Macaca mulatta: one gene and its partners. The protein of the gene in region 2 purifies or fractionates together with the protein of the main gene of each other region. This does not show direct contact. Links are inferred from orthologs where the notes say so. Each region holds a gene or a part of one and is shown on either strand. Other genes may lie near its edges.

The links.
Region 1: the proteins of UPF1 (region 2) and EXOSC2 purify together in Homo sapiens (affinity purification with western blotting; 3 studies listed by BioGRID and IntAct, with this or other methods). This does not show direct contact. The link is inferred for Macaca mulatta from reciprocal best matches to the Homo sapiens genes UPF1 and EXOSC2.
Region 3: the proteins of UPF1 (region 2) and MAGOH purify together in Homo sapiens (affinity purification with western blotting; 3 studies listed by BioGRID and IntAct, with this or other methods). This does not show direct contact. The link is inferred for Macaca mulatta from reciprocal best matches to the Homo sapiens genes UPF1 and MAGOH.
Region 4: the proteins of UPF1 (region 2) and SMG7 purify together in Homo sapiens (affinity purification with western blotting; 7 studies listed by BioGRID and IntAct, with this or other methods). This does not show direct contact. The link is inferred for Macaca mulatta from reciprocal best matches to the Homo sapiens genes UPF1 and SMG7.
Region 5: the proteins of UPF1 (region 2) and ILF2 purify together in Homo sapiens (affinity purification with mass spectrometry; 3 studies listed by BioGRID and IntAct, counting the BioPlex papers as one, with this or other methods). This does not show direct contact. The link is inferred for Macaca mulatta from reciprocal best matches to the Homo sapiens genes UPF1 and ILF2.
Region 6: the proteins of UPF1 (region 2) and MOV10 purify together in Homo sapiens (affinity purification with mass spectrometry; 3 studies listed by BioGRID and IntAct, with this or other methods). This does not show direct contact. The link is inferred for Macaca mulatta from reciprocal best matches to the Homo sapiens genes UPF1 and MOV10.
Region 7: the proteins of UPF1 (region 2) and STAU1 purify together in Homo sapiens (affinity purification with mass spectrometry; 7 studies listed by BioGRID and IntAct, with this or other methods). This does not show direct contact. The link is inferred for Macaca mulatta from reciprocal best matches to the Homo sapiens genes UPF1 and STAU1.

The regions. Positions count from the first base shown.
Region 1 is NC_133420.1:16,887,820-16,892,170, reverse strand, and holds the start of EXOSC2 (exosome complex component RRP4), read left to right. Parts: upstream 1-1,410; 5' UTR 1,411-1,431; coding exon 1,432-1,553; intron 1,554-3,694; coding exon 3,695-3,796; intron 3,797-4,351. UniProt on the Homo sapiens protein: Non-catalytic component of the RNA exosome complex which has 3'->5' exoribonuclease activity and participates in a multitude of cellular RNA processing and degradation events.
Region 2 is NC_133424.1:19,389,357-19,393,710, forward strand, and holds the start of UPF1 (regulator of nonsense transcripts 1), read left to right. Parts: upstream 1-1,322; 5' UTR 1,323-1,604; coding exon 1,605-1,835; intron 1,836-4,354. UniProt on the Homo sapiens protein: RNA-dependent helicase required for nonsense-mediated decay (NMD) of aberrant mRNAs containing premature stop codons and modulates the expression level of normal mRNAs.
Region 3 is NC_133406.1:187,373,313-187,377,108, reverse strand, and holds part of MAGOH (protein mago nashi homolog), read right to left. Parts: intron 3,585-3,796; coding exon 3,526-3,584; intron 1,653-3,525; coding exon 1,542-1,652; intron 1-1,541. UniProt on the Homo sapiens protein: Required for pre-mRNA splicing as component of the spliceosome. Plays a redundant role with MAGOHB as core component of the exon junction complex (EJC) and in the nonsense-mediated decay (NMD) pathway.
Region 4 is NC_133406.1:41,024,326-41,028,121, reverse strand, and holds part of SMG7 (nonsense-mediated mRNA decay factor SMG7), read right to left. Parts: intron 3,021-3,796; coding exon 2,876-3,020; intron 2,464-2,875; coding exon 2,081-2,463; intron 1,431-2,080; coding exon 1,059-1,430; intron 288-1,058; coding exon 138-287; intron 1-137. UniProt on the Homo sapiens protein: Plays a role in nonsense-mediated mRNA decay. Recruits UPF1 to cytoplasmic mRNA decay bodies.
Region 5 is NC_133406.1:113,368,186-113,372,582, forward strand, and holds the start of ILF2 (interleukin enhancer-binding factor 2), read left to right. Parts: upstream 1-1,518; 5' UTR 1,519-1,606; coding exon 1,607-1,611; intron 1,612-2,305; coding exon 2,306-2,365; exon of another isoform or gene 2,366-2,397; intron 2,398-2,656; coding exon 2,657-2,699; intron 2,700-3,892; exon of another isoform or gene 3,893-3,911; coding exon 3,912-4,016; intron 4,017-4,391; coding exon 4,392-4,397. UniProt on the Homo sapiens protein: Chromatin-interacting protein that forms a stable heterodimer with interleukin enhancer-binding factor 3/ILF3 and plays a role in several biological processes including transcription, innate immunity or cell growth.
Region 6 is NC_133406.1:127,559,313-127,562,164, reverse strand, and holds the end of MOV10 (helicase MOV-10), read left to right. Parts: intron 1-7; coding exon 8-82; intron 83-979; coding exon 980-1,105; intron 1,106-1,184; coding exon 1,185-1,273; intron 1,274-1,392; exon of another isoform or gene 1,393-1,509; coding exon 1,510-1,631; intron 1,632-1,716; coding exon 1,717-1,808; 3' UTR 1,809-2,058; downstream 2,059-2,852. Other genes in the region: rho-related GTP-binding protein RhoC, read right to left, coding at 2,824-2,852.
Region 7 is NC_133415.1:101,963,044-101,966,839, forward strand, and holds part of STAU1 (double-stranded RNA-binding protein Staufen homolog 1), read right to left. Parts: intron 3,508-3,796; coding exon 3,342-3,507; intron 1-3,341. UniProt on the Homo sapiens protein: Binds double-stranded RNA (regardless of the sequence) and tubulin.

The DNA of each region.
Region 1 (4,351 bases), on a different chromosome or scaffold from region 2:
TGGTATCCACAATGCCAACCTTGCGACAGGCTCCGTGAATGTGAACGCTGTGAGAGTGCGCGTCTCTCCCTCCCGGGAAGAACTTGGATGGTGTCAGGACTACACTCTCGCTCCGCCTAGGGCCGCTCGCTGGGCCTGGCTTCCTGGCCGTCGGGCTACGCGGGCTCAAAGGACACCATCGCCCTCTTATGGCCCCGGCAGTACTGGACCAAGGGGCTGGGCTCTAGCGCCTTCCTCCAAGCACGGCGGAGGGCGAGGGTCTGGCCGCTCACTTACCTAGGGCCTTGGGGCACTAGCATTCACGTCACGGACTGCCTGGCAGGGCTGACTTTCTTAAGTGTGGTCGTGCGCCTTGCTTAAGTGGAAGAAATGCTGTCGCTTTGGAGATTTATAAAACAATTGGTTCGATGGATCTTTCTTCAGGAGGCAGACTTGGTTTACCTGCTTTTCTGACCACAGTTGATGTAAATGATTTCATTTAATCCTCTTTAGAGTCCCTGTGCATGGGGAATTACCATTCCCAATTAGTTTGTTGTGAATGTAGGGCAAGGAGAGGGAGACGGTAGTGGGGAACGGGAGAAGGGGCGAGGGGGTACGCTCCTATTAAAACGGAGCCGCAGCAAAACCCACAGAGACATGTCTGTTCCCTGCTGAATCCTTAGAACAGCGCCTGGCACACACAGAGCACTCAACTCGCTGTGTAACTAAATGCAAGCCATCTTCGTATTATGTGTGCACTTCCCTTCCCTACCAAATATACCTGGCTTGCAAGGTTTGACCTATACTGTTAGACGATTTTTAACTTGTTTCCAAAAGAAATATTGGAGTAAATTAGCTTGCTTAAAGAAGTCTTTATGAAAGAACAGAACCAAGTGAGAAGTATCTGGAGCCCGGTTTGGAGGTATAGATGATGATGCTGAGCAAGCACCCACGGGGCGGCAGCAATGTAGAATACTGGGGCTACTAGGAACCGTGTGGACAGGGGCTCTTCTCTCTGTTCAAATAGTGTTTTCTGTAGATCCCATCTCTCCATCCTCCTGAGCTCTCTCTTAGAAAATACCGGATTTCAGCAGCTTAGAATCGGACAGAAACTCAGAGGTCCGTTTCTCAATTATCGCTAACCCTTGTAAACAATAAATGGGATGGTGAGTACAAGACAGTTTTGGTAAAAAGTCACACCCCACACAACATGAGATTGTATTATTCCACGGGTGCTCCCTTGCCAATAGTAAACATGGCAGCTCGGCTCCCTTCCCTTCGGGTTCGCCTTAGTGTTGCCAATTGTAAACATGGCCTCCAGGCCGTGAGTTCTCATTGGCAGCTGCTCTGAGTCCCCGCCCTTCCCCGCCCCTCCGAACGCGGCCAGGAGTCGCGGAGTCGGATATCGCGGCTCCCGGCTGAGCTGCGCCTGCGCAACTCATTGGCGCCAAGATGGCGATGGAGATGAGGCTTCCAGCGGCTCGCAAGCCTCTTAGCGAGAGACTGGGTCGCGACACTAAGAAACATCTAGTGGTGCCGGGGGACACAATCACTACGGACACGGGATTCATGCGGTACGTGGGGACTTGGGGGAGTCGAGGCTTCCATAGAGCGGCTTCAGGGCTCTCTGCACGTGGTCCAGGCCTCGTATCCCGGTGTGTCTAACTCCCCGCGGGACCCCAGGCACTTGGTCTGAGCATCCTACTCGCCTCGCTTCCGAGCCTCGTGCTTCTTGCCCCCTGCGTCTTGTGTGTCCCCTTCTGCGTTTGTCTCAGCTCCCTGAAACCCTCCACTCCTGACCTCTGGTGGCTGTGACTTTTGGGTCTTCTGCCTGAAGTCCAAATCTTTGAGCCTTCCTTGTAGGAGACCTGGAAAACCGGGGAGGTTTAGGCGCAGGCTCTCTTTCCAGTTTTCAGCTCTCTGAGGGGACGGTGGGTGTTCTTGGCCGCCTCCTCTTCAGTTTAGAATCCGTAATTGTTCCAGCTTAGGGCAAACAGTTACATTGTGCTGCCTGCACCCATTTATACACATTTTGAATCCAAGGGGTGCAGTACAGTGTGTTGTAGTTAAGAGGGCAGGCTCTTTTTTTTTTTTTTTTTTTTTTTGAGACAGAGTTTCACTCTTTTTGCCCAGGCTGGAGTGCAATGGCGCGATCTCAGCTCACTGCAACCTCCGCCTCCCAGGTTCAAGCGATTCTCCTGCCTCAGCCTCTCGAGTAGCTGGGATTACAGGCATGTGCCACCATGCCTGGCTAATTTTTGTATTTTTAGTAGAGACGGGGTTTCTCCATGTTGGTCAGGCTGGTCTTGAACTCCCGACCTCAGGTGATCCACCCTCCTCAGCCTCCCAAAGTGCTGGGATTACAGGCGTGAGCCACCGCGCCCGGCCGAGGGCAGGCTCTTGAGTCAGACAGTTGGGGTTCCAGTCCAGCTACCATCACATCTTATTAGCGGCATTGCCTCTCCACGGTCAGTTTCCTCATCTGTAAGATAGTGATAATAACAGTATGATACGGTAATGAGGATTAAATGAGATAATTATGTAAGAAAAGAAGTAAAACCAGCCATTATATCATCATCATAGATAACACTAGCGTTTCAACCTTTTTTTTCTGTACATGTATCTATACAAGGGGCACAGCATTCATAGCATTGCCCTTTAACCTGTTAGTTTAAGGCTAGTGGATCCTAGGAAATATTTTTTTTTTCATTTTTGAGACGGAGTCTCTCTGTCGCCTAGGCTGGAGAGCAGTGGTGGGATCTCGGCTCACTGCAACGTCTGCCTCCTGGGTTCAAGCAATTCTCCTGCCTCAGCCTCCTGAGTAGCTGGGATTACAGGCACCTGCCACCATGCCCAGCCAATTTTTGTATTTTTAGTAGAGATGAGGTTTCACCATGTTGGCCAGGCTGATCTCGAACCCTTGACCTCAAGTGTGATCTGCCCACCTTGGCCTCCCAAAGTGCTGGGAGTACAGGCATGCCCAGCCCCTAGGAAATTTTTTTTTTTTTTTTTAATGAGACAGAGTCTCACTCTGTCGCCCAGGCTGGAGTGCCGTGGCACAGTCCCAGCTCACTGCAACCTCCACCTCTTGGATTCAAGCAATTCTCCTGCCTCACCCTCCTAAGTAGCTGGGATTCCAGGCGCACGCCACTACGCCCGGCTAATTTTTGTATTTTTAGTAGAGACGGGGTTTCACCATGTTGGTCAGGCTGGTCTCAAACACTTGACCTCGTGATCCACCCACCTCGGCCTCCCAGAGTGCTGGGATTATAGGCGTGAACCACCGCACCTGGCCAGGAAATCTTAAGATTCATTCTTTCGTTAATGCTTTCAACATATATTTATATTTTGTGCAGTTGGGATATAACGGCAGAGTGAAAAATCTCTGTCCTGGTGGAGTTCTAACGGAGAATGTTAGGCAATAATGCAATGGGGAAAAACGTGGAGCAGGGTCAATGGAATGTGGGGGAGTGGTGGCAACGGGGTGGGCTGTGTTTTCAATGGCACAGTCAAGGTAGGCCTGCTGGAGAAAGTGACACCTGAGCAGACCTGAGTGAGAGGAGTGATTTCCAAGTAGCCAGTCTGGAGAAGGAGCACTGAAGGCAGGCTTTGCAGGGGGAGCTTGTTAGCTTTGAGGAACACATTGTTCTTGAAAGGAGAGAGGTCACCTCGAGTTACCCTGGTATCCTTTCTTTGTACCTTTGCCTTGCATCAGGGGCCACGGAACGTATATGGGAGAAGAGAAGCTCATTGCATCTGTTGCTGGCTCTGTGGAGAGAGTAAACAAGTTGATCTGTGTGAAAGCTTTGAAAACCAGGTGAGAACAAAAGGTGTGTATTCCCTTTCTTGCGGCATCCAGGTTGTACAACCAGGCTTTTTCTGCCCCCTCCATATCCCCTACCCCACCCCTGCCTGCCCTGTCATGCTGTAAGTCTGAGGTTTTGACCATGACTGTAGGTGGGGTGGTGCAGATCAGTGTAGGCTTCAGAGGTTTTCCCATGTTATGTCACCACTCCAAGCCTTGGTTACCTCCTCTGCAAAGTGAGTATAATAGCATGGCCTACTTCACAGGATTTTCTTTTTTTTTTTTGAGACGGAGTCTCGCTCTGTTGCCCAGGCTGGAGTACAGTGGCACAGTCTGCACGCTGCAACCTCTGCCTCCCGGGTTCAAACGATTCTCCTGCCTCAGCCTCCCAAGTAGCTGGGATTACAGGCACTCGCCACCACGCCTGGCTAATTTTTTTATACTTTTAGTAGAGACAGGGTTTTACCACGTTGGCCAGGCGGGTCTCGAACTGCTGACTTCAGAAGATTTCCCCCCCACTTGGCCTCCCAAAGTGCTGGGATTACAGATGTGAGCCACTGCGGCTGG
Region 2 (4,354 bases):
GGGAATACAGGCACCCGCCACCAGCCCAGCTAATTTTTTGTATTTTTAGTAGAGACCGGGTTTCACCGTGTTAGCCAGGATGCTCTCAGTCTCCTGACTTGGTGATCCGCCCGCCTCGGCCTCCCAAAGTGCTGGGATTACAGGCTTGAGAAACCGCGCCTGGCCTACCTCACTTGTATAATTTCACACAGCTGATAAGTGGTTAGCTCTAGATTCCACCACACACCATGTGCTTCCTGTTGTTTTGCTGTATATGTCCACTAAATAATAATCATAGCAAAAATAGTAATTGTATAATGACAGCGGCAGAGGCATCAGGAACAGCAGCAACCATCATTTCCAAGTGTCAGGCCCAGTACCTAAGACTATCCCCATTCATTTATTTTTACTTATTTTTGAGACAGGGTCTCGCTCTGTCACCCAGCCTGGAGTGCAGTGGTGAGAACCACCACACTTAGCTAATTTTTTTTAGCTAATTTTTTTTTTTATTTTTTGAGACGGAGTCTCACTCTGTCGCCCAGGCTGGAGTGCAGTGGCACAATCTTGGCTCACTGCAAGCTCCGCCTCCTAGGTTCAAGCGATTCTCCTGCCTCAACCTCCCAAGTAGCTGGGACTACAGGCTCGTGCCACCACGCCTGGCTAATTTTTTGTATTTTTAGTCGAGACGGGGATTCACCGTGTTAGCCAGGATGGTCTCGAGTTCCTGACCTCGCGATCCGCCCGCCTCGGCCTCCCAAAGTGCTGGGATTACAGGCGTGAGCCACCGCGCCCGGCCTAAGTTTTGTATTTTTTGTAGAGATGGAGTCTCACTCTGTTTCCCAGGCTGGTCTCGAACTCCTGAGTTCAAGCCGTTCTCCCGCCTCAGCCTCCGAGTGTTTGGGATTACAGGTGTGACCACCGCGCCGAGCCCCACCCCCTTATTAAACCAATGCACAGGGAGCATCTACTATGTGCGAGGCACCCCCCATTTTACAGATGGGGAAACTGAGTTCCAAGCAGCTTTTGCCAGGAGTGGGAGCGCGTCGTCCCTGCCCAGCCTCTCCAGTTGGGCATTTCGAGATCACCTACGTAGGCTATTCGGCTAGCGCTTAATTAAACCGAAACACTGTCGCAGCGACCACAGGTGCAGACCACCAGGTCCACACCACCCGCCGCCCGGGAGTCCCCGATTAGCAGTTGGGGCGGGACCAAGTCCTCGAGGGGCAGCCGCGACGGCGGTTGAAAGCCTCACCCCCTGCGCGTGCGCGTTGAGCGTCCCGTCGTCCCGCTGGGCACCCGGCGTCCGCGAAGAGCGCGCGCGCTTCCGCCGGCGTCGGGCTCGCGCACGCGCACGGCGACGGCGGCGGTGGCGGCAGTTCCTGCCCGGGGCTGCGAGCGGCGGGCGGCTTCGAGGGGAACTGAGGCGCGGAGGGGCTCGGCGGCAGCGGCGGCGGCTCGGCGCTCTTACATCTCGGTTCGGCTGGCGCCGGGGAGGGCGGTTCGGTCCTTTCCAGGCGTACGGGGACGACAGCGGCAGCGAGCCGAGGCCTGCGGCCTAGGCCTCAGCGCGGCGGCGGGCTCGAGTGCGGCGCGGAGCCGGCCCGAGGGCCCTACCCGGCAGCACCATGAGCGTGGAGGCGTACGGGCCCAGCTCTCAGACTCTCACTTTCCTGGACACGGAGGAGGCCGAGCTGCTCGGCGCCGATACACAGGGCTCCGAGTTCGAGTTCACCGACTTTACTCTTCCTAGCCAGACGCAGACGCCCCCCGGCGGCCCCGGCGGCCCGGGCGGTGGCGGCGCGGGAGGCCCAGGCGGCGCGGGCGCGGGCGCCGCGGCGGGACAGCTCGACGCGCAGGTGAGCGGCACATGGCGGCGCCGGAAGCCCGGGCCTTGTCTCGGCGCCTGAGACCTGTCCCTAGCCCGTCTCGGGCCGGGCCTGGGTTTGCCCGGAGTCCCCCGTCGCGGCCGGGCCTGGGGCGACCTGCCCCGGGTCCCCTACTCCGGCTGGGCCTGAGCTTACCTGCCCCAGGTCCTGCACTCTGCCCGGGCCTGGCCTGATCTGCCCCGGGTCTCCCGCTCCGGCCTGGACCTGGCTGAGTTCCTTCGGCCCCCAACTCCTGGGCTGGGCCGACTTGCCTCGAGTCCTCCACTCCGTTCGGGTCCGAGCTAACCTGACCCTCTTCCTTTACTCCGGCTGGGTTTGCTCCTCCGCCTGGGCCCGGGCTGACCTGCCTTGTGTCCCACAACCAGCCTGGCCTGGAGTAACCTGCCCTGGTCTGAGTTCTTCCACTCCATCCGGGCTAGGGTGACCTGCCCTGGTCCCTCTTTCTCAGGTCTCGGTTTTCTGCCCCGAGTTCCCCTACGGCCTGGGCCGGGTCTTGCTCAGGCCGGATCTTGAGTGACTTCCCTCAGTCCCCTTCCGGGAGTATCCAGGGTGACCTGCCCTAACCCTGTCTCTGGCCTGGTCCGGGGATTCTGCCCCGTCTCCCCAGTGGGGGGTCCGGCCGCACTGTCCCACCTCCCATCTGTGGTCACAGCCATCTGGGCATCCCCCCTTCCACAGTCACGGAGCCGTAGGTTCGAATTTTCCCAAGCATAAGGGCGCTGGTCAGCGGAAGATTGAGGCAGGGAAGAATTTTTGCCTCCCATAGAGGAGCACACATTGGCTGGCTATTAAGATCATTCAGGAAGCAGTTTGTATTTTATTTTTTCTTGCATCGCCTGTTGCTGAAACCGACCTGTTACATAACTCCACAACTCTTGCCTTGGAAAAGTTGGGTTTGAGTTTTGTTCCTCCAATAAGACAGCAGTAATGGGTTTACATAAATGCGTCTGCCACGTTGGAAACTCATTTTTAATGATGTGGATGTTTAGAGAAGGTTACTTAGGTGTTTAAATGGGGGCTTGGGTTGGGAGAAGTATCAGGCATGCATTTCCTGGTCCTGGGTGCTGCCTGCCTGGGGTGGGAGAGGGGCTGGGGGGGCGCGGGTTGCACCGGGCTCCAGGGGCATGTCCTCATCATCCTCTGGATCTCAGGTTGCTTTCACTTTAGGGTTGCTTTGTGCCTGACCCCTCGCTCAGGTTTATTTTCCTGACAGGGAGTAACTCCGAGGCTCACCTTGGCACAGGTGTCCCTTGGCATGTGCTGGTGTTTCAAAGCTGGGAGAACCACTCCTTGCTCATCCTGAGTGAGCTCAGACCCTGTCCTTGCATGAGGGGGGCTTACTTGGTAGTCGGCTGAGTCATTCCCGTGGGTAGACCACCCACTTGGGCTTCCTTTTAGCCCCTAATGGAAGCAAGAAACATTTGACTCATTCTAACCCCATATTCCTTAAAATAGAAAGTTGGGTGTGAGGAGAACAGGTGTGCACGTATGGGTGGTTTTTTCAGTTTTGTTTACATTTTGTGAAGGTGGGGAGGGAGAGAGGAGAGGTCCCTTGAAGAAGGGAGCAGGACCTGCGGAGGCCCCGCCTCCTTGTAGTTTTTATGCCCTGTAGACCTTTCTGCTTCCGCAGCTGTGAAATGGGGGTGGCAGTTGGATTTTTGTTCCTTTTAAACATAAAGGAAACCTAGATCCATGTGTGAGTCGACTGTATAGGCTGTCTGTAATCTGACGTCCAGCCTGTCGGGGAGACTCAGGGTAAAGATCTCTGTGGAGCAGTGAGCCATGAGCGTGACAGCGCGGATAGAGGGGTTGGCTGGTGTCAAAGGTAATCATTTTCTTGTGAATCCTTTTAACTGTGGCCAGCATAAAACAGCAAACCTGGGGCAGCCTTTAGTTCTACTTTTGTTTCTGGCATTCCGTTTGGGATTAAGTGTGGCGCATGTCCTTCTCTTTCAGTTGAAACAATTGATTTTTTTCCGTGCACCTGAACACACTGGGCTGTACAAAAGGAGAGCATTAAAACGCTCCCCTGGAGGTAAACATTGCAGTTGAGCTCACTAGAGTTCTGATGACATCAGATGGTTTGTCCTGTGCTACTTTTAATTGACCCAGATGCCCCACCCACCTGTTACCTGTAATTTGGATTTGTTAGTGGGGAATGGGAGTGGCATCCCTTTGCATCACAAGGGGAAGACCGGAGTTTGGGGGCAAGGAAGTCTATGTATATAATTCAAGGGAAAGCGGAAGAAAGTTATCACTTGTGTGGATTGATTTGGGAAGACTTTCCCTGTTTGTCCTCAGGAGTTGGCTGTGTAACCAGCTGTTAAGTTGGGGGCTCCTGGAAGGACTCAGAAAGCTTCTCATTCTGTTTTTTAATTTTTATTTTACTGGGCAAGTGGCAGTCAGCTGTCAAGTGCCCTGCAGTCACTTTTGCTTAACAGCTTTATTGAAATAGAATTCACTTGCCGCACCATACAGTTTACCCATTT
Region 3 (3,796 bases), on a different chromosome or scaffold from region 2:
TACTGAAGGTAGGATTTTTTAAAAAAACTCTTCTTGAAGGGTTGGTCCATCATTTTGAGGTTATTAGGCATGAGTTTATATGGGTTTTCATGTTAATTTAACAAATTATTATTGGGCTTTTACTATACATGGGCACTATTTTAGTCACTGGAGATATAGCAGTGAAAAAATTGAAAAGCAAGTAAGACAATTTTAGACAATAAGTGCTACAAAGACAACACATATTGTGATGAAACTGAAAGCAAAAAGAAAACACACACACACACACAAAGACAGCACAACAGATCTTTTTCTTAATGATGGGAAGAGACTTCTTAGATTGAATGGACAGGCAAGATATCACCGAGGAACCGACTTTTGAAGACCTCAATAATAGAGAGAGTCTTGTACAGAGTTAAAGGAAGAATATTTTAGGCAGAATGTGGCAAGTGCCAAGGCCCTGAAGTAAGAACCACCTAGGTATTTCTGAGGAACAGAAATGAAGCTAGTAAGGTTTGAACACCATGACAGACTGGAAGCATGGTAAAAGATAAGGTGGGAGTTTAAATTTTAAGTACAGTGGGAAGCCATTGGAGTTTAAATCAGTGGAATACATAAGCAAATTTACATTTTTAAAGATCACACTGGTCAGGCGCGGCAGCTCACGCCTGTAATCACAGCACTTTGGGAGGGCAAGGTGGGCGGATCACCTGAGGTCAGGAGTTCAAGACCAGCCTGGCCAACATGGTGAAACCCTATCTCTACTAAAAATACAAAAATTAGCTGGGCATGGTGGTGTGTGCCTGTAATCCCAGCTACTCGGGAGGCTGAGGCAGGAGAATCACTTGAACCCAGGAGGTGGAGGTTGCAGTGAGCTGAGATCATGCCACTGCACTCCAGTCTGGGCGACAGAGCGAGACTCCGTCTCGAAAAAAAAAAAAAAATTACATTGGCTTTCAGGATGGAAAAATGGATGGTATGGAACAAGAGGAAAAACAAGGGAACCTATTAGAAGTCCAGAAGTCTGGATTAGGATGGTAGCAGTCAGAGTGAAAATACCTTTTCTGTTAATTCAGTTCAATATGATAGTGGCTTTTATTTTTTAGTTAACAAAACGGTGCTCGGAATGAATATATAATGTATATAAATACACATGAATTTAAATACATATACTGAATTATTTGTATGATTTTCCTTTCATTAGATTGGTGAAATAATCATGTTCTATTTTTCTTTGTATCTCCACAATGCTTTGTCCATAGTAGTTAGTAAATGAGATAGGCAGCAAAAGCTTTAAGTGGAGGAGGGAGTGTGGGGGGTCCTAAGAAGAAATTCAAGGCTGGGTTCTTGGTGGCCAGCAGCACTTGTTCTCTCTGTTCCTTCCTGTGGGATTAATGCTTCCTTAGACCAAGGTGCTGGCAATCTGCTTTCTGCAGGGCTGACCACCACCACCACCACCACCATCACACACACATGCACACAGTTTCACTATCATATGCAGAGCACTAAACCTCATCTTATTTGTAAGATTTCTGCACTACAGGATAATCAATAAAACATACCTGCCGGCCCACTCGGTCAGGAGGAGGCCACAATGCATCATCCTCTTTGGTAATTTCACTGTCATCGATTATTCTCTTCAGTTCCTCCATCACGCTTTTATGTACATAAGCCTGAAAGCAAGTTAAAAGACAAAATGTATGTTGTATCCTTAAGCAGTGCTTTGACTCAGATAGTGATGGAAGATAAAAATAACTGTTCCTGCAGACTTATTTCTGGCATCTTCTTAAGTGGGAAGACATTCATGCTCAACCTCGGCATGATGCAGGTGAGGGACAGGGTCAGAAGTATCTAATAAACTGCACCTCAGTCCCCCATCTAGCTGTTACTACCTCCTGGTACATCCTGTTTACATGGCCCTTCTGCCTGTCCACACAGCCAACTCACAAAGAAACCCAAAATAGATCTGTGAATGCCCCCTGCTATGGTTTGAATTTTTGTGTCTCCTCCAAAATTCATGTTGAAATTAATCCCCAATGCAACGGTGTTAATCGATAGGGCCTTTAAGAGTTGATTGGGCCTTGAGGGCAGAGCCCCCATGGATAGGATTAGTGCCTTAGGAGACAGCTTAAGAGAACTAGCTGGCCCCTTGCTTGTTCTTTCACCATATGAGAACACTGCATTCATCCCTTCTGGAGGATGCAAAAACAAGGCACAGTTGTGGAAGCAGAGACTGGGCCCTCACTAAACACTGAACCTGCCAGTGCCTTGATCTTGGACTTCCCAGCCTCCAAAACTGTGAGAAATATATTTTTATGGCTTAAAAATTACCCAGTCTCAGGTATTCTGTTATAGCAAAACAAAAGAGACAGCAACACCTACATGCCCTGGTTTATTTTTTTTTGAGACGGAGTCTCACTCTGTGGCCCAGGCTGGGGTGCAGTGGTGCAATCTCGACTCACTGCACGCTCTGCCTCCTGAATAGCTGGGACTACAGGCACCCACCACCACGGCTATATTTTTTTGTATTTTCAGTACAGACGGGGTTTCACCGTGTTAGCCAGGATGGTCTCCATCTCCTGACCTCGTGATCCGCCCACCTTGGCCTCCCAAAGTGCTGGGATTACAGGCGTGAGCCACCGCGCCCGGCCAGTTATTCTTAACTAGGTAATACGCTCCTGAGGAGCAAAATGTATTTGAAAAGATATGCCTGTGTAAAAAAATAGTGAGAATGTTGACATGTGTGAATAAGCATGAAACTGATAGCTAAAACAACAGTATGAAAAATATATGCTAAGACATTTTCAAAGGTGGCAGAGTGGTTAAAAGAGTAGCTTTGATGAAGCCTTAATGATGTAGTAGAAATCACAGAGAGGAGAATACAAACTTTACTGGGGAATTCCTTTAATTGGGAATTCCTGCTGTATCTCTTACTAGCAGGGGTAACTCTGAACAAGTCTCATAATTAATATCTGGGCCTTTATTTTCTTATTTGTAAGGGGGCTATAATACCCTCCCCCATCATATGGGCTTATAATCAGGGTTAAATAAGATGCCATGCCTGACATCTAACATGCATTCAATGATATCAACTGCTTTCCCATGCTCCCTTTCCCACTCAGATGCAAATTAAATAGCTCTCCATTGTGTACTATGTGCCAGGGAATATATAGAGCACTTTAAGTATAACACATTTAATTTTATGACAGCACTTGGGAGTGGGAGGTAGCTTTTATTTTCCCTGTTTTTGCAGGTGAAGAAACAGAGATTTAATCAAGTTCAGCCAGGAACTTGCCCACTGTCACATGAGGTAGTAAGCAGCAGACTCAGGGTTCAAACCAAGGTATGTCAATGGTTACCAGTAATTGATTCCACATTGTAAAATAAAAAAATCCCAACTAAAAGATGATTTGGGAAATAATCCAGAAGCTGTCTACAGACATGTGTCTCTCTCCCTGTTCTTTACCTTTCAATACTAGATACAACAAAAACAATGCAAGACAAAAAGCTGAAATGTAGAAAATGAAGGCCTCTCAGAAGGCATACCTCTTTTCTGATCATGACATCATTCTTGTAATTGCTGTTGTTGGCATATCTTAACTTCCCTGTGGGGACAAAAGCCAAATTCAACATATAATAAAAACATGAATAAAGCATCAATACCATACCAAGACTATCGGCAGTTGCCTAAAATGTATCCAACTTGCTCAAAGTGTCTAAGACATTTATTATTTACTCTTAAGGTAGTTCAACAATACTAGTCTTTCAGTTCTTCACTTCAGGCTTAAACAGCCAAATATACAGCTGACACTCAACT
Region 4 (3,796 bases), on a different chromosome or scaffold from region 2:
GGAATTAGAAAATATGTTTTACAGTTCTGAAAAGGACAGCCCCAGGAAGATAAGAAATCACCTAATCTGTGTACTACAATATCTCAGAAAAGCAGCTGGGAGTTAGAGCAAGAAGCAGAATTATGTCAAATACATACAAAAAGGCTTCGTCCAGGAAGAGAGGCGAGAGGCCCCAGCAGAGCCGGGTAAAGATCAGGAGGGTTAGAAAAAATCAGCTCTTCCTCTTCCTCCAAGGCAGCCAGACTCTTTAACAGGTCCGGAGGAAGCAGAGGGGAGCTCTTGGGGTCCTAGTGACAGAAAGGATCACAGTGAGATGCAATAAGGGACAACAAAAGCATAAAGGAATAGTAGTATGATTAGGTGGAAGAAGACAACTACAGTCAAGGGGATAGTGAGATAGATGGTATTAGGCAAAGAAAAAAGGCTCTGAAATGCAAAGGCAAAGCAACACAAGGACAATACTGGAGAAAGTTCAAGACAATAGAAAAGCAAAAATACTGACAGAGCAGAACACAAAAGGTGAATGTGGCTAGTTAAGTAAAACAATGCTATGGAGGAGCAAAATAATTAGCATCTCTTGTGCTAACAAAGAAAGTAAGAGATCTTTTAAAAAGTTACTAACATTCACCTGCTTCTCATGAATAAAAAGGGCAAAGAAAGGGACCTCCACTGTCCAAGATAACTGGTTAACTTTGTTCCTCTCAGAGAGCAACTTATTTAAGTATCAGTAAACCTATTTTTAAACTTAGATGATTCAGCCCAACTGAGAGGAGTGCTTTGTCTCAGAATTCTCTAACATGCTGTTTTAGAGATTTCTGTACATGGTTTCTTTGCCAGACCATCAGAGTTCTGAATCAGTTACAGAATTCTTCAGCTTCCAAACTAAAACATACTGTGCAACTTTGAGGAGGAAACCAAGAGCTACACCAATACTCAGTGGCATTCTATAGTACTAAAGAATAAGAGTGGCCTCTTTATAAGATCCATTTGAGATATTCAAAAGATAGTCAACCCCAAACCTATCTCCAAAATGCCCGGTGATAGGAAAGAACACACACCTCAAATGGCATCCTGGGTACAGGATCCTGCTCTGGACGGAAGACTCCTGGTGACCGTTTGCCCCTGCGGTCTATATTTGCTTGCTGTGCCATTACAGATCTGTTATCAGCCATGCTGTAGGAAGAATCCCAGTAGAATTCTGGGACCTTGACTTCTGAGGGATTATGGTTATATGGCTCCATGGGAAAAGGCTTCATTTTTTTTTCTAGAGGCTGCTGCTGCATTACAGGAGGTTGCAATGACGGCTCAAACAGTTTTATGGGGTCTTGGGTCTGAAGGTAGTAGGGCTGTTTCACAGGCATAATTTTCCCTAATGGGCCTTGAACCTGAGGGGGATTCCACAGCTGTTTGGAGGCATCTGCCTGTTGATACTAAAAAAGAGATGCCTGTCATCAAGGTGAGGATAAAATGCAATATTACTTATAATGAATGCTAAAGAATCACAGAATGAACTTGAGGTGTTTTCCAAGCAACAAAACTCTAGGCAAGGCAGCAGTTTCCTTTACCTTTTGGGCTTTTCAATACACAGAGCTTTTTGGGAACAGATTATGGGCACCACACTCATATTTTCTTTTAATTCAACTATTTAAGAGGGTTAATGAATGAATGAATATATTTGCATAAGAGTGTTTGTTTCCCCTTTCTGCTTCAAGTGCTGTGCTTCAAACGACAACATTTAAGATCGGTGTCACATCTGTCTTAGTACCTCATCAAGACTGTGATTCTATTTCCCTAGTAGTTTATGTTCCTATAGAATTATTTGCAGAAAATCCATTTTCAATAAAATGGACATTTAGTAGCAGCCAAGAATGGTAGTTAAGATCTAGTATTATACACTTTACAAAAGTAAGGAAAACATTTGAACTTTCATAAACAGTAGAGACAATACTTTTGCCTTCTCATAATCACTACAAATCTAAACAAGAAGTATGTCAAAGTTCAATCAGCATTTCTAACATTCAATCTTTCAGCATTTCCCTTTATTTCATTCAGCTGGACAGTACACACAACTGTAACTTACCTGCTGGAATCCAGAGTGGTGAGGCGGGCTTTTCCCCATAGCCGGCACAGCTTTTGTAGGGGACTGTTGTTGCTGAGTTAGAGCTTGAACCTGCAACTGGCTTGTAGACTGTGCTGTTGGCTGAGCTGGTAAAGATGTAAGGGGTTGCTGGGAAGGTGGCTGTGATTGTTGAGGTCCCTGGTTCATTGGCCCTGGTCCAGAGGGCCGTTGCTGGCTGTAAGGAATGTGGGACTGTTTCCCAGCTTGCACCTGGTTTCCTGCTGGAGAGTGAGCTGTAGGCTGAAGAAAGGTTCCTGGGACAGAAACACCAGCTGGGAAGGTGTAACCTGAGCCCATAGAAAATGCCACAGGAGGGGGGATAACATATGTTGGTGGTGGAAACCCTTCAAAACAGAAGAACACAGATTTAGTTCTAAAGAAACAGCAAAAAATTCATTTTTTTAAAAACAGGTAAGTAGAGGGAGTCCTCTAACACATCATAAAAGAGATCAGTCACGTTGTCAAACTTGATTTGAAGAATTAAAAATATTGACACTTTTCCTCTATCCACTGAAGTAATCAGTGTTGTGTAAGTAGCTTCTGTGTTCAGTGATAGGATTTCCTTCATCATAACAAACATGCACTTGCATGTACACTACACAGAAACATTTCAAAAATAATTTTATAAGCATTAGGGAAAACAGAACTTTCTTTGGGTTAGTAACATTACTCTAACAGAATACACATTTCTCAGTGAGTGAACAGAAATTCTTGCACAGAAAAGATTAAGTAGAAGAAATTATAAAACATATTTACCTGGCCTGCTGGGAAGAGGAGGGAAGGCTCCAGGGTGATGAATGGGGATGAACTGGGAGTTACTTGCTTGAGTTGGGGTTTGAGTTACAGGTGTTTTTCTGGCTTCAGACACTGGAGTCTTTCTTAGTTCTGTCTGGGATTTTACCTGTGACCAAGAGAAGCAAAACTATAATAAACTGAAACTCAAACGTGTCAGAAAAAAGACCCTACTCTTAAGAAAGTATTTAAAACCTCATTAGATCAAAAAGGACATGCTGAAGATATTTAAATTCACCTAAGTTAAAAATGGAATATCAAAGCAAATTATTTAATAGCCAATAAAAGATAATTTTACTATCTTAGTTTTACTAATTATTTTGCTTTCCCATGATCACAAAAATCCAAATATGTAAAGGACCTTAGAGTCCATTTGTTTTACAAATGAGATGCCTGATGCTAACAAGCTGAAAAAAACTTGTCTATGACTTTAAGTTGCTTGTTCTGGGGCCCAGGGTTCTCTATACTCTAATTCATTAAACAGCATACATGAATTATGAACTAATAGTGACCGTTAACCCATAGGTGAGTTATTTTGGCCCTCAGTTTAATTTCATCTGGGTAGCCATATGTGTACAGTCAGGCATCCACCTTCCACCCTGCAACTTTACCACCCTTCAGAATAAATAAGGATACTTTCAGCAGTAAGGAACAGGCCCTGAGATCCTATAGATGGAGCCAGAGAGTAGATGTCATATGCCCCGCTCAAAGTTGAGCAAAATCAGGGAAAATTATTAGCATTTATAGAAAACTCGGGATGAGGTACAGAGTGTGGTGATATGTTGACTCTTTCTCACTTTAATCATTTATGGCTGATTTGAGATGGATGAGAAACCAAAAAAGGAGATTCTGTTTTCAGTACGACCTTACTGGGAGCAGTTAGAG
Region 5 (4,397 bases), on a different chromosome or scaffold from region 2:
GCTTGAACCGGGGAGGCGGAGGTTGCAGTGAGCTGAGATGGCGCCACTGCACTCCAGCCTGGGAGACAGAGGGAGACTCCATCTCCAAAAAAAAAAAAAAAAAAAAAATTAGCTCAGAGTGTTGTGGCCTGTGCCTCTGAGTAGTCCCAACTACTGGGGAGGCCGAAATGGGAGAGTCTGTTGAGCCCAGGGGGTCGAGGCTGCAGTGAGCTATGATGGTGTACCACTGCTCTCCAGCCTGGGCAACAGAGTGAGACCCTGTGTACAAATAAAATAATAGAAGAGAGGGTAAGAGACAAAGAGATTACTGGGGGAAAAGTCTAATACGTCTTTGGAGTTCAGGAAGGAGGGAAATAATAGGTAAAACTAATACTGGAAGATATAATAGCTAATAAATTATATAAATGGATGACAAACCTCAAGCCATTGATTCAAGAAGCTCAACAAACCTCAAGCAAGATTTTTTTTTTTTTTTTTTTTTTTTTTTTTTTTTTTTAAGACGGAGTCTCCCTCTATCACCCAGGCTGGAGTGCAGTGGCGCCATCTCAACTCACTGCAACCTCCGCCTCCTGGATTCAAGATTCTCCTGCCTCAGCCTCCTGAGTAACTGGAATTACAAGTGCCCGCCAGCACAAGCCACCGCACCCGGCCCTTTTTTTTTTTTTTTTTTTTTAAATTAATAACATTTATTTAAATCTGGATGGTGGTTATGTGGACAGAATACGTTTAGACTTAAGATGTTTACGTTCTGCTGTAGTAAATTAAATATCAAAAAAGTACGTATGGAAGGGAGGTAGATGAGGGATAAAAGTCTACAAGTTGGATTCAGTGTATACTGCTCGGGTGATGAGTGCACCAAAATCTCACAAATCACCACTAAAGAATTTATGTAACCAAGCCGGGCGCGGTGGCTCAGGCCGGTAATCCCAGCACTTTGGGAGGCTGAGGCGGGTGGAACACCTGTTTTCCACATTAATTCAATCAATATACTCCTCCTATCTGAAACCTGTTTCTCCTGCTTCGAGTTTGTAGACGTGTAGTGTTCATGGTTGCCTAAACTCCCTTTTCCCCATCAACTTCAACTGCTAGTGGCAAAAATGGCTGATACTGCTTGCGTTTTTGGGGTAGGAAAATCGGCAAGGTATTTTCATTCACTGAATGTAATGTAAATTACGTGTACGGTACAGGGCAATGAAAAAATTCCGATAGCAGAGGATGGTTTCGATCCATCGACCTCTGGGTTATGGGCCCAGCACGCTTCCGCTGCGCCACTCTGCTATCTGAAGGCCAACGTTCTCATAACTGTTATAGAAGACCACGTAGTCGTTGTCCTGACTTCTTCAGTGCCACCTAATGTCTGATCAAAAATTCGTCATTACTATAGAACCAGTTCTTATTGGCTAGTTCCTGACACAGTAGGCGTTTTTTATTGGTTCATAAGCCCGGTTTGACAAAGTAAGCCAATAGGCATAAGCGATGGGGTAAGGCGGGAGCCAATCACGCCGGGTTTTATTGGGACACGCCGGCAAGACTCCTCTTCAGTTGTCTGCTCCTCAGAGGAAAGGGGCGGTTGGTGCGGCCTCCATTGTTCGTGTTTTAAGGCGCCATGAGGTAAGGGGGTCGAAGTGGTCGAAAGGTTTCAGGTATTCGACGGAAAACTTTGGGAACGTGGGTCGAAAGAAGTCGGAGTACCTAAAAGGACCATGTATCCGGGAGCTGGCCAAAAACCTGAGAACTCCTGGTCTAAGAGAGTGGGAGAGAGTGAGGCCGGTAGAGGCGGGGAAACGGGCCCGGGATGGGGTTGGGGCCCAGGAGTGGGGAGGCGGGTTCGACACCTCTCTCTGAAGGGTTGCGATGAGGAGGTGTCCTCAAGTCCCCGGAGGAGCTCCCCACCTTCCCTCCGCCCCCGTCATCCGGGCTGAGAATGCTGGAGCGAGCCGCATTCATCCTCAGTGCGAAGGGCTTGACATATAGGACATGCCCGATAAATGTGTACGTTAATGAAGAAATGAGCAATCTTTAGCTTCCGAAGTATTAGGATTCGTGTGGCCCAGGATTATGGGTTATTTCGTGTAGGGCTCACTGTCTGAGCCCCATCATTACTTGATGGGGGGTTGTGATTAACTTATCCAGAATGAGGAGGTTATGGGGGTGTAACTGGGCACCATTTGGAATGGGGAGGAGTGTGTGAGTGGGGTCTCTTGCCTACCGTTGGGAGGTTCCGAGGGATGAAAGTAGCCAACTTAAAATGATATGGCCGGTGGGTATTCCTTCAATGAGATCAAAATAAAATCTGCATTTCTAGGGGTGACAGAGGCCGTGGTCGTGGTGGGCGCTTTGGTTCCAGAGGAGGCCCAGGAGGAGGGTGAGTGCCAGCTTTTAGCATCTCTGCACTTAGTTGTTAGTTTCTGCTTGTCATCTAAATAGGAGTTTTGGAATAGACTAATGTCACTTGGTTTTGTGAGAGCCAACTGTGGTCTTTTCCGCACTCCTGCTAAATGAATTTGGCCCCACTATGCTAAGAATGATTCTCTCCCTCCCCAGAGACTTTGTCACTCATTCTGAGGTCTGACATGTTTTCAAAATTGTTGGTGTGTTATTTAAATCTCACTTGATTCCTACATAGGGAATAATTTGGCTGTTTTTCATGTTTTAGGTTCAGGCCCTTTGTACCACATATCCCATTTGACTTCTATTTGGTGAGTACCTTGGGTTAATAATACACAATTTCTGGCCATTCTTGAAATGGAGCCTAGTATCTCCCAGTTAATGAAGTTAGATAGTGGTTGAAGAGGGCAGGCACAGTGCCTCACACCTGTAATCTCAGCACTTTGGGAGGCCGAGGCGGATGGATCACCTGATGTCAGGAGTTTGAGACCATCCTGGCCAATATGGTGAAACCCCATCTCTAGTAAAAATAAAAAAGTTGCTTGGGCGTGTGCCTGTAATCCCAGCTACTTGGGAGGCTGAAGCAGGAGAATCGCTTGAACCCGGGAGGCGGAGGTTGCGTGAACTGAGATGGCACCACTACCAAAAAAAAAAAAAAAATGGTGATTGAAGTGAGGGGGAAAGTGATTTTTGAAAAGACTTGGGGTTTTGAGTCAACTGTGTGTTGCTTTACCTACAGAAACAGTGTAAGCATGGTGGGGAGAATAATTCCTTGACTACTGTTGGCATTAAACATGATTATAATCTTTGTTCTGAACAAGTAATCGTATCTACGGCTAATTTGTTACTATAAAGATAGTGATAGCTTAAATTATGGCTATTCCAGCTTGTATCCTTGTTTGAACATTTTTTCTTTTTTTTTTTGAGACAGAGTCTCACTCCGTCACCCAGGCTGGAGTGCAGTGGTGCAATCTTGGCTCACTGCACTGAACCCGGGAGGCAGAGGAATCAGGACCTCTGCCTCCCAGGTTCAAACAGTTCTCCTGCCTCAGCCTCCCAAGTAGTTGGTATTATAGGCGCCATGCCCAGCTATTTTTTGGGTATCTAGTAGAGACGGGGTTTCACCATGTTGCCCAGGCTGATCTTGAACTCCTGACCTCAAGCGATCTGCCCACCTCGGCCTCCCAAGGTGCCGGGATTACAGGCGTGACCCACCATGCCTGGCCTTTGAACAAAATTTTTTTTTTTTTTTGAGGCAGGGTCTTACTGTGTTGCCCAGGCTGGAGTGCAGTGGCACGATCTTGGCTCACTGCAGCCTCGCTTCCTGTGTTCAAGGGATTCTCCCACCTCAGCTGGGATTACAGGCGTGAGCCACCATGCCCAGCTAATTGAACAAATTAAGGAGTAAAAACAAGTGTAGAATTTTCTATTTTTAACCTTTTTCTGTCGTAGTAATAGAAAAAACAATCTCTCCTGTATATTATTTTCGGCAAATGGAATGTAGTTGTTTACTTCTGGTTTAGTGTGAAATGGCCTTCCCCCGGGTCAAGCCAGCACCTGATGAAACCTCCTTCAGTGAGGCCTTGCTGAAGAGGAATCAGGACCTGGCTCCTAATTCTGCTGAACAGGTATGTTCTTTTGGCTGTCTTCCAGAAATGTCTCTAAAGCAGGTAAAAGTATTGGTAAAGAGTAACTGTTGGTAAGGTTAAGAATGGTGTTAACAGAGCCTGAAATCCACAGAGGGTTTAATTGTTCTCCTTATTTCTCATTGTGGGTGGAGACAGCCAGGTGGATATATAAACAAATTACATATGCATTCTTATTTTTATTGGGGATAAAGAGTTGTTCTCTTTCCATATATTCAAGGCCAGAATGAAGTGTTTTTAAAGTCCTAGGTCAGTATTGAGTCAGCTCGTATGGAAGGGATTAGGAGAAAATACTCAAACTCTGAGAATTTGCTTCTAATTTTTCATCTTCGAGTATTGTTTCATGCTGTTTTTCAGGCATCT
Region 6 (2,852 bases), on a different chromosome or scaffold from region 2:
CTTCCAGGTGGAGAAAATCCGTTACTGCATCACCAAACTTGACAGGGAGCTTCGAGGACTGGATGACATCAAGGACTTGAAGGTGACACGCTGTTCCACACTCACTCCCTCCCCTCCGTGTGCTCCCACTTGCCCACTTCCAAAGACTTTCTCAAGCTTCCACTCCAGTCCAGCCCACATCCCCGTCCCACCCCTGCTGCCTTGAATAGAGCTGGAGCTCTCCCCAAGCCTCTCACTCCTGGAGATTCCAACTTAATGGTCTGGGATGGGATCAGGAAGCCTGGATGTTTAACAAGCACCTCCTGTCATTCTTAGACTCAGGCAGGTTTGAGGCCTCTGCCCTACGGATAAAGTCCAAATTCCGTGGCCTGTCATGTGATGCTCCCACCCCCACCCCCAGTAGCCTCTGTAAGGTTGTGGTCTCAACACTGGCTGCAGATAACAATCACCTGGAGAGCTTTTAATACCCCCGTGCCAGGGCCCCGCCCACCAGCTCATACAGCTATGGGGCAGAGCCAGGGCACTGGTAGTTTTTATAGCTTCTCAGGTGATTCCAATGTGCAGCCAGGGTTGAAAACACTGCTCTAAGACTTACAGGCCTCTCTCTCGGAAATTCTGATGGGGGGGTCTGGGTTAGGGCCCAGGGTTGTATATTCTTAACAGATACTTGGTGATTATTTTCCGGAAAGTGTGAAAGTCACTGCTCTGAGTTCCAGTGTGCTTTGCAATGCTGTTTTCTTTCCTTAGAACACTTTGCAGGCCCCACCCCTCAACAGGATTCACCCTTCAGGTTTCAGCTTCCATTGCCTACCTCCTGTCCCCTTTCCCTGGGCCGTGTCGCAGCACTCACTTGTTCACTCCACTGGTCTACAATTGCCCAGTGACCTCTCTGTACCCTCCTTGGATGGCAGGCTTGCTGGGGTAGGGCACCCCTTTGACACGCCTGGCTGGTCTCAGGCCCTGCCTCTTTCCCCGATAGGTGGGTTCAGTGGAAGAATTCCAAGGCCAAGAACGAAGCGTCATCCTCATCTCCACTGTGCGAAGCAGCCAGAGTTTTGTGCAGCTGGATCTGGACTTTAATCTGGGTTTCCTTAAGAACCCCAAGGTTTGAGGGCTGGTCGGGGTGGCAGGAATTCTTCCATCTTGGGGCCCTTCCCTCCCATGACCACACTTCTTCCTTCCAGAGGTTCAATGTAGCTGTGACCCGGGCCAAGGCCCTGCTCATCGTCGTGGGGAACCCCCTTCTCCTGGGCCATGATCCCGACTGGAAAGTGTGAGCATTCCCACCCCATTCTCCCTCTTGGTGGCCACAGCCCCTGCCTAAGGCAGGTGGATCTTTTTTAAGCGCTTGCTTATCGCTCAGTTAATCCTCAGATGTGTCCATTTTCACAGCACCCCTATTATATTTACAAGTTAAATGACATCCAGAGGTTGAGCAAGTACAGCTCAGATGTGACAGGACCGTGGCTTAGCCTCCAGTCTCTGCTGGCACTCCTCTGTACCCCACAGATTCCTGGAGTTCTGTAAAGAAAACGGAGGGTATACCGGGTGTCCCTTCCCTGCCAAACTGGACCTGCAACAGGGACAGAATTTACTGCAAGGTCTGAGCAAGCTCAGCCCCTCTACCTCAGGTATGGCTGGGCCAGGGTGGGCCAGGTTGGGGACAGTGCCAGAGGAAGTGGTAAGGAAGACAAAGTGTACTTTATTTCTTTCCAGGGTCCCATGGTCATGACTGCCTCCCCCAGGAGCAGGAGGGTGAAGGGGGCCTGTCTCTGCAAGTGGAGCCAGAGTGGAGGAATGAGCTCTGAAGACACAGCACCCAGCCTTCTCGCACCAGCCAAGCCTTAACTGCCTGCCTGACCCTGAACCAGAACCCAGCTGAGCTGCCCCTTCAAGGGACAGGAAGGCTGGGGGAGGGAGTTTACAACCCAAGCCATTCCACCCCCTCCCCTGCTGGGGAGAATGACACATCAAGCTGCTAACAATTGGGGGAAGGGGGAGGAAGAAAACTCTGAAAACAAAATCTTGTTCTATGCAAAAGCCTTGATAATGTCTCCTCTGCCTGGCCCCAGCTTCCTGAGCCCCCAAGTTGACCCAGTAGGGAAGGGTGGGACTTTCAGCCCTGCTCTGGGACACACCCCCTCCCAGCTGGAGAGGAAACCCAGTGGGAGGTGGCAGGGAAGCCACCCACAGGTTTCTAAGTTTAGCCCCCTGCTACAGACCACTCCCTTCACCCGCCTCCTTGGCCCAGAGCCAGGCATGACCTCATCCTTTGCTCTAAGACTCCACCCTGCCGGCCGCTGGCCTGCCTTGTAGGCAGGGGGCCAGGCTGGCAAGCAACTTGGACATGAAAAGAGATGGGACACTAAGCACCCAGAGGGAAAGACCAGAAGCTGCCACACACGTTGGAGCCTGTAGCCTTTATTCATGCCCCCCTGACCAAATGCAGTGAGAGACAAGGCCCCTGCCAAAAACAACTCCAGGGGCCTGGGACTCTGGGTCCCCTACTGCAGATACTTTCCTGTGAGCCAGAATTGTATAAAGTGCTGGTGTGTGACCATCCTTTGGGAAAGGTCAAAGGGGCAAGAGCCCCAGGGGCCCTGAGGAAGGGCAGGGCATAGGCCTGGTTCCCAGAGCACTGGGAGGGAGGGCCCGCACCACCCCACCACCTCAGGGCTAGGAAACCTCAATGCAGTCCTGGGCAGGAGGGAACGGAAAAGGGGAGCCTTCAGCATGGAGCCCTAAGGAGGCTGGGGTTGTAGGGGGATAATTTCTGTACCCCTGTTGAAGGGAGGGGGCATGTTTGGAAAGGCCTTGGGGATCTCAGATAATGGGACAGCCCCTCCGGCGCT
Region 7 (3,796 bases), on a different chromosome or scaffold from region 2:
CAGCAAGTGCTGGCTTTACTGCGTATCTTCTAGAGAAGATGCATTGATCCACCACACAATCACATGCTCCACAAATTTGCCACAGCTAACCTGACAATTTGTTTAAAATTATCATTTCCAATGCTGGCAGGCTGTGGACAGACAGGTTGCTTATGGCCTGTCAGCAGGTTGTAAAATGGCACCCTCTTCCTGTGGAGAACTTGGCCATATGTACCACTGTGCATACCCGCTGGTTCAGCAATTCTACTTCTAGGACTGTGGACAAAGACTTTACTGCAACAATGTTCTTCCCGACCCATTTCATAAGAGGGAAAACTACAAACAACCTAAATAATCAAGTCCCTGCTGGAAAACAAAGCAGTGCATTCACTTAGTGGAACACTTTGCAGCCATTAAAAAGTGCTTAGGTGTGTGCTGAATTTGAGTCCTCCAAGGAATTTTAAGTAAATGACGTAACATATTCAAAATATACACGTCAGTGAAAAAAGGTGTTTTTGTTGTTGTTGTTGTTTTTTCCCCAGCAAAGCTCCTCAGAGTTTTCACAGGACCCAGTGAGAAAACAGCCCAGGAGAACATGTCCACAACAACTGCTGCCCTCAGGACTGTGCCAACCAACGCTGCTCTAGTGAGTGAAGGTGGGAGACTCAGAAATACCAATAGGCACTTATCCTTTGTAGCAATACTCTCATCATTCTCATGGAGGAGTCAAGGGGAAGAACTGCTGGGGAAGTGCTGACAGCGCTTAGATCCGTGGTTCTCCAACCTTGACCATACCTCAGAATCACTCCAAGAGCTCACTAACAACATGGCTGGGTATGGTGGCTCATGCCCGTAATCCCAGCACTTTGGAAGGCCAAGGTGGTCAGATCACCTGAGCTCAGGAGCTTGAGACCAGCCTGGGCAGTACAGTGAAACTCCATCTCTACTAAACATACAAAATTTAGCTGGGCGTGGTGGTGAGCACCTGTAGTCCCAGCTACTCGGGCAGCTGAGGCACAAGAATCGCTTGAACCCAGGAGGTGGAGGTTGCAGTGAGCCAAGATCATGCCACTACACTCCAGCTTGGGTGACAGAGGGAGACTGTCTCAAAAAAAAAAAAAAAAAAAAAAAAAACCCAGCAAGAACAATAAAAGCAAAAGCCAGATTCCTGAGTCTTACCCTAGACCTACTGCATTAGAATCCCGGGGTTGGGCCTAGAATTTCTTTTTTTAACTTCTCAAGTGATTGTGATGCACAAAATCCATATAGCAGTGTCCAGCAATTGTTTATCAACTATTGGCTGGAAGTACTAGAAATACCTATTCCATCTGACTCCAATTAAGATTAGCACCAGTCAGGTAAAAAGCTGAAGAGCCTCCAAAATAACTCAAATTCCACTACCTTTTTGGTGTTTTAACAAATCTCACCACTGAAAAGCTCATCCTTTTAACTTCACTAAATCCTCCTCTTTTAGCTACAGCCTCATTTTCTTTGATTTGGTCCTTAGTGGGCCATGGAAACAGATCATCTACTAGAATAGGTGATTACAGTGGAAAATGGAAACGCAGCGTAACGAAAGAAAAACAAATCGTTCCTGTGCAGCCAGCCATGAAGCCCGAGCTGGGTCGCCCTGGGTGGCAGTTGGATACAACAGACCTCAGCAGGCACCCTGCCCAAGGTCCGCTTGGGTCTACACCTCTCATCACATACTTAGCCCACTGTTCTGTGCAGGATCTTCTTGTTCTTTGTGAACATGTTTCCTGGTGAAGAAAAGTCAAATGCTACCCAGAGATATTTTCAGGTGGCATTTCCTGCTGTGATTAAACAGAATTATGAAATCTCAATGTTTTCAATTCACTGGGCTTCTTCTGGCCTTTGTGACTCTACCTGTGATAAGATTCTGCCTGGCCAAAGATATTCACTAATGCTTTGACCCCCTCAATGGCATGGAGTTACTGATTCCCTAAGAATTATATTGCTATTGAGTCACAAAAATGTTAATAATCCTTTTCCTATCATGGTGGTTTTAAAGCATGGTCCCTAATTCTTTGACAATCCCTTCATCATCTGGAAATGGGATTCTCCATATTGTGAATGTACTAAAATCTACTGAATTGTACACTTACACTAGTCAATTTAGGTTATATAATTTTTACCCTCAATTTTTTTTTTTTTTTTTTTCTGAGATACAGTCTCGCTCTGTCCCCAAGGCTGGAGTGCAGTGGCACAATCTCGGCTCACTGCAAGCTCTGCCTCCTGAGTTCACATCATTCTCCTGCCTAAGCCTCTCGAATAGCTGGGACTACAGGCTCCCACCACCACGCCCAGCGAATTTTTTGTATTTTTAGTAGAGACAGGGTTTCACCGTCTTAGCCAGGATGGTCTCGATCTCCTGACCTCATGATCTGCCTGCCTTGGCCTCCCAAAGTGGTGGGATTACGGGCGTGAGCCACTGTGCCTGGCCACCTCAATTTTTTTTTTTAAGTGACATTTTATATCTCCTTCCTTTGAATCTGGGCTCTGTGCCTGCTTGACCTGTAGAACATGGCAGACACGATGCTGTGATTTCTGAGCCTAAGCCTTAAGAAACTGGCAGCTGCTTCCATTTCCCATCTTCTAGGATGCTTACTCTGGGCAACCAGCCACCATACCATGAGGAAGTGTAAGCAATCCTTCCATAGGTCACCCAGGGATGAACTGAGGTCCTGGGGCCAGAGACCCAGCTGAGCTCCTAGCTGACAGCAAGCACCAACTTACCAGCCACACGAGTGAGCCATCTTAAAAGCAGATCTTCCAGCCCCCTGCAGAGTCACCTCAACCAAAGCTGTGTAGAATGAAGACAAGCTACCCTTACCAAGCCCGGCCTCAGTTGCAGACTTATGAGCAAAATAAATGCCTGGAGATGTTTAAACCATCACTAAATTCTGTGACGGTTTGTTATGAGGCAATAGATAACAGGCGCTTCTATATAATCAAGAGTGGCTGGTCAAAAACAGCTTCAGAAAATTCTCTAACCTGGTACCATATATCACAAGCAAAATCTTCAGTACTGAAGACTTCATCCGTACATGTTCTTCACAACTCAATTGAATCGCAAACTTTCTAACGTGTTCACACCATGTCACTCAAAACCATGCCATAGACTGGAAAAGAAGGCAACTGACTTTCTTGTTAAGAAATTTTAAAACGAAAAAAGGGGTAAAAAGCAAGAAAGCTACAGAGCATAAAATCTTGGAGGCATTCAAATAAAAATTATGGACAGCTGTCAACATGCCTTCTTAGAAAAGATAACGTGCAGTGACATCTCCCCACTACCCTCCCACCCTGTCGAAGCGTCAGGGAGCCTGGGCTCCGCTCCTTACCTCCAGCCTCTCCGGTGGGGGCTCATTCTGCAGGATCCTCAATGCTTTGGCAGCAGCATCATGTTTCGCAGCCTGTCTTGTCTTTCCTTTCCCATTAAATTGCTGTCCTCCCACAGAAAGTTCCACTTGATAAAGTAAAGGTGGAACTGGAAATGGGTAAAAGTACCTAGAAATAAAAGGAGGTTAGGCAAATTACAGTCTCAAGTTGATAAGTCACCTATACACTCTCTGGCAAATGTTCCTTCATCACGATCCTACTCACATTAGTGTTTGATGCTAATCACTCTTCATCAATATATCCAGAGATTTCATAAAAGCTTAAACTGGATTAGAATTGCTACACAGTATAAGAAAAGAGTTTTTAGCAATCCAAACTTACATCTCAGGAAACACAATGGCTTAGAAATTATGAGTTTATCATGCTAACCTGCACTGACAAAATCTAAAATGAATTA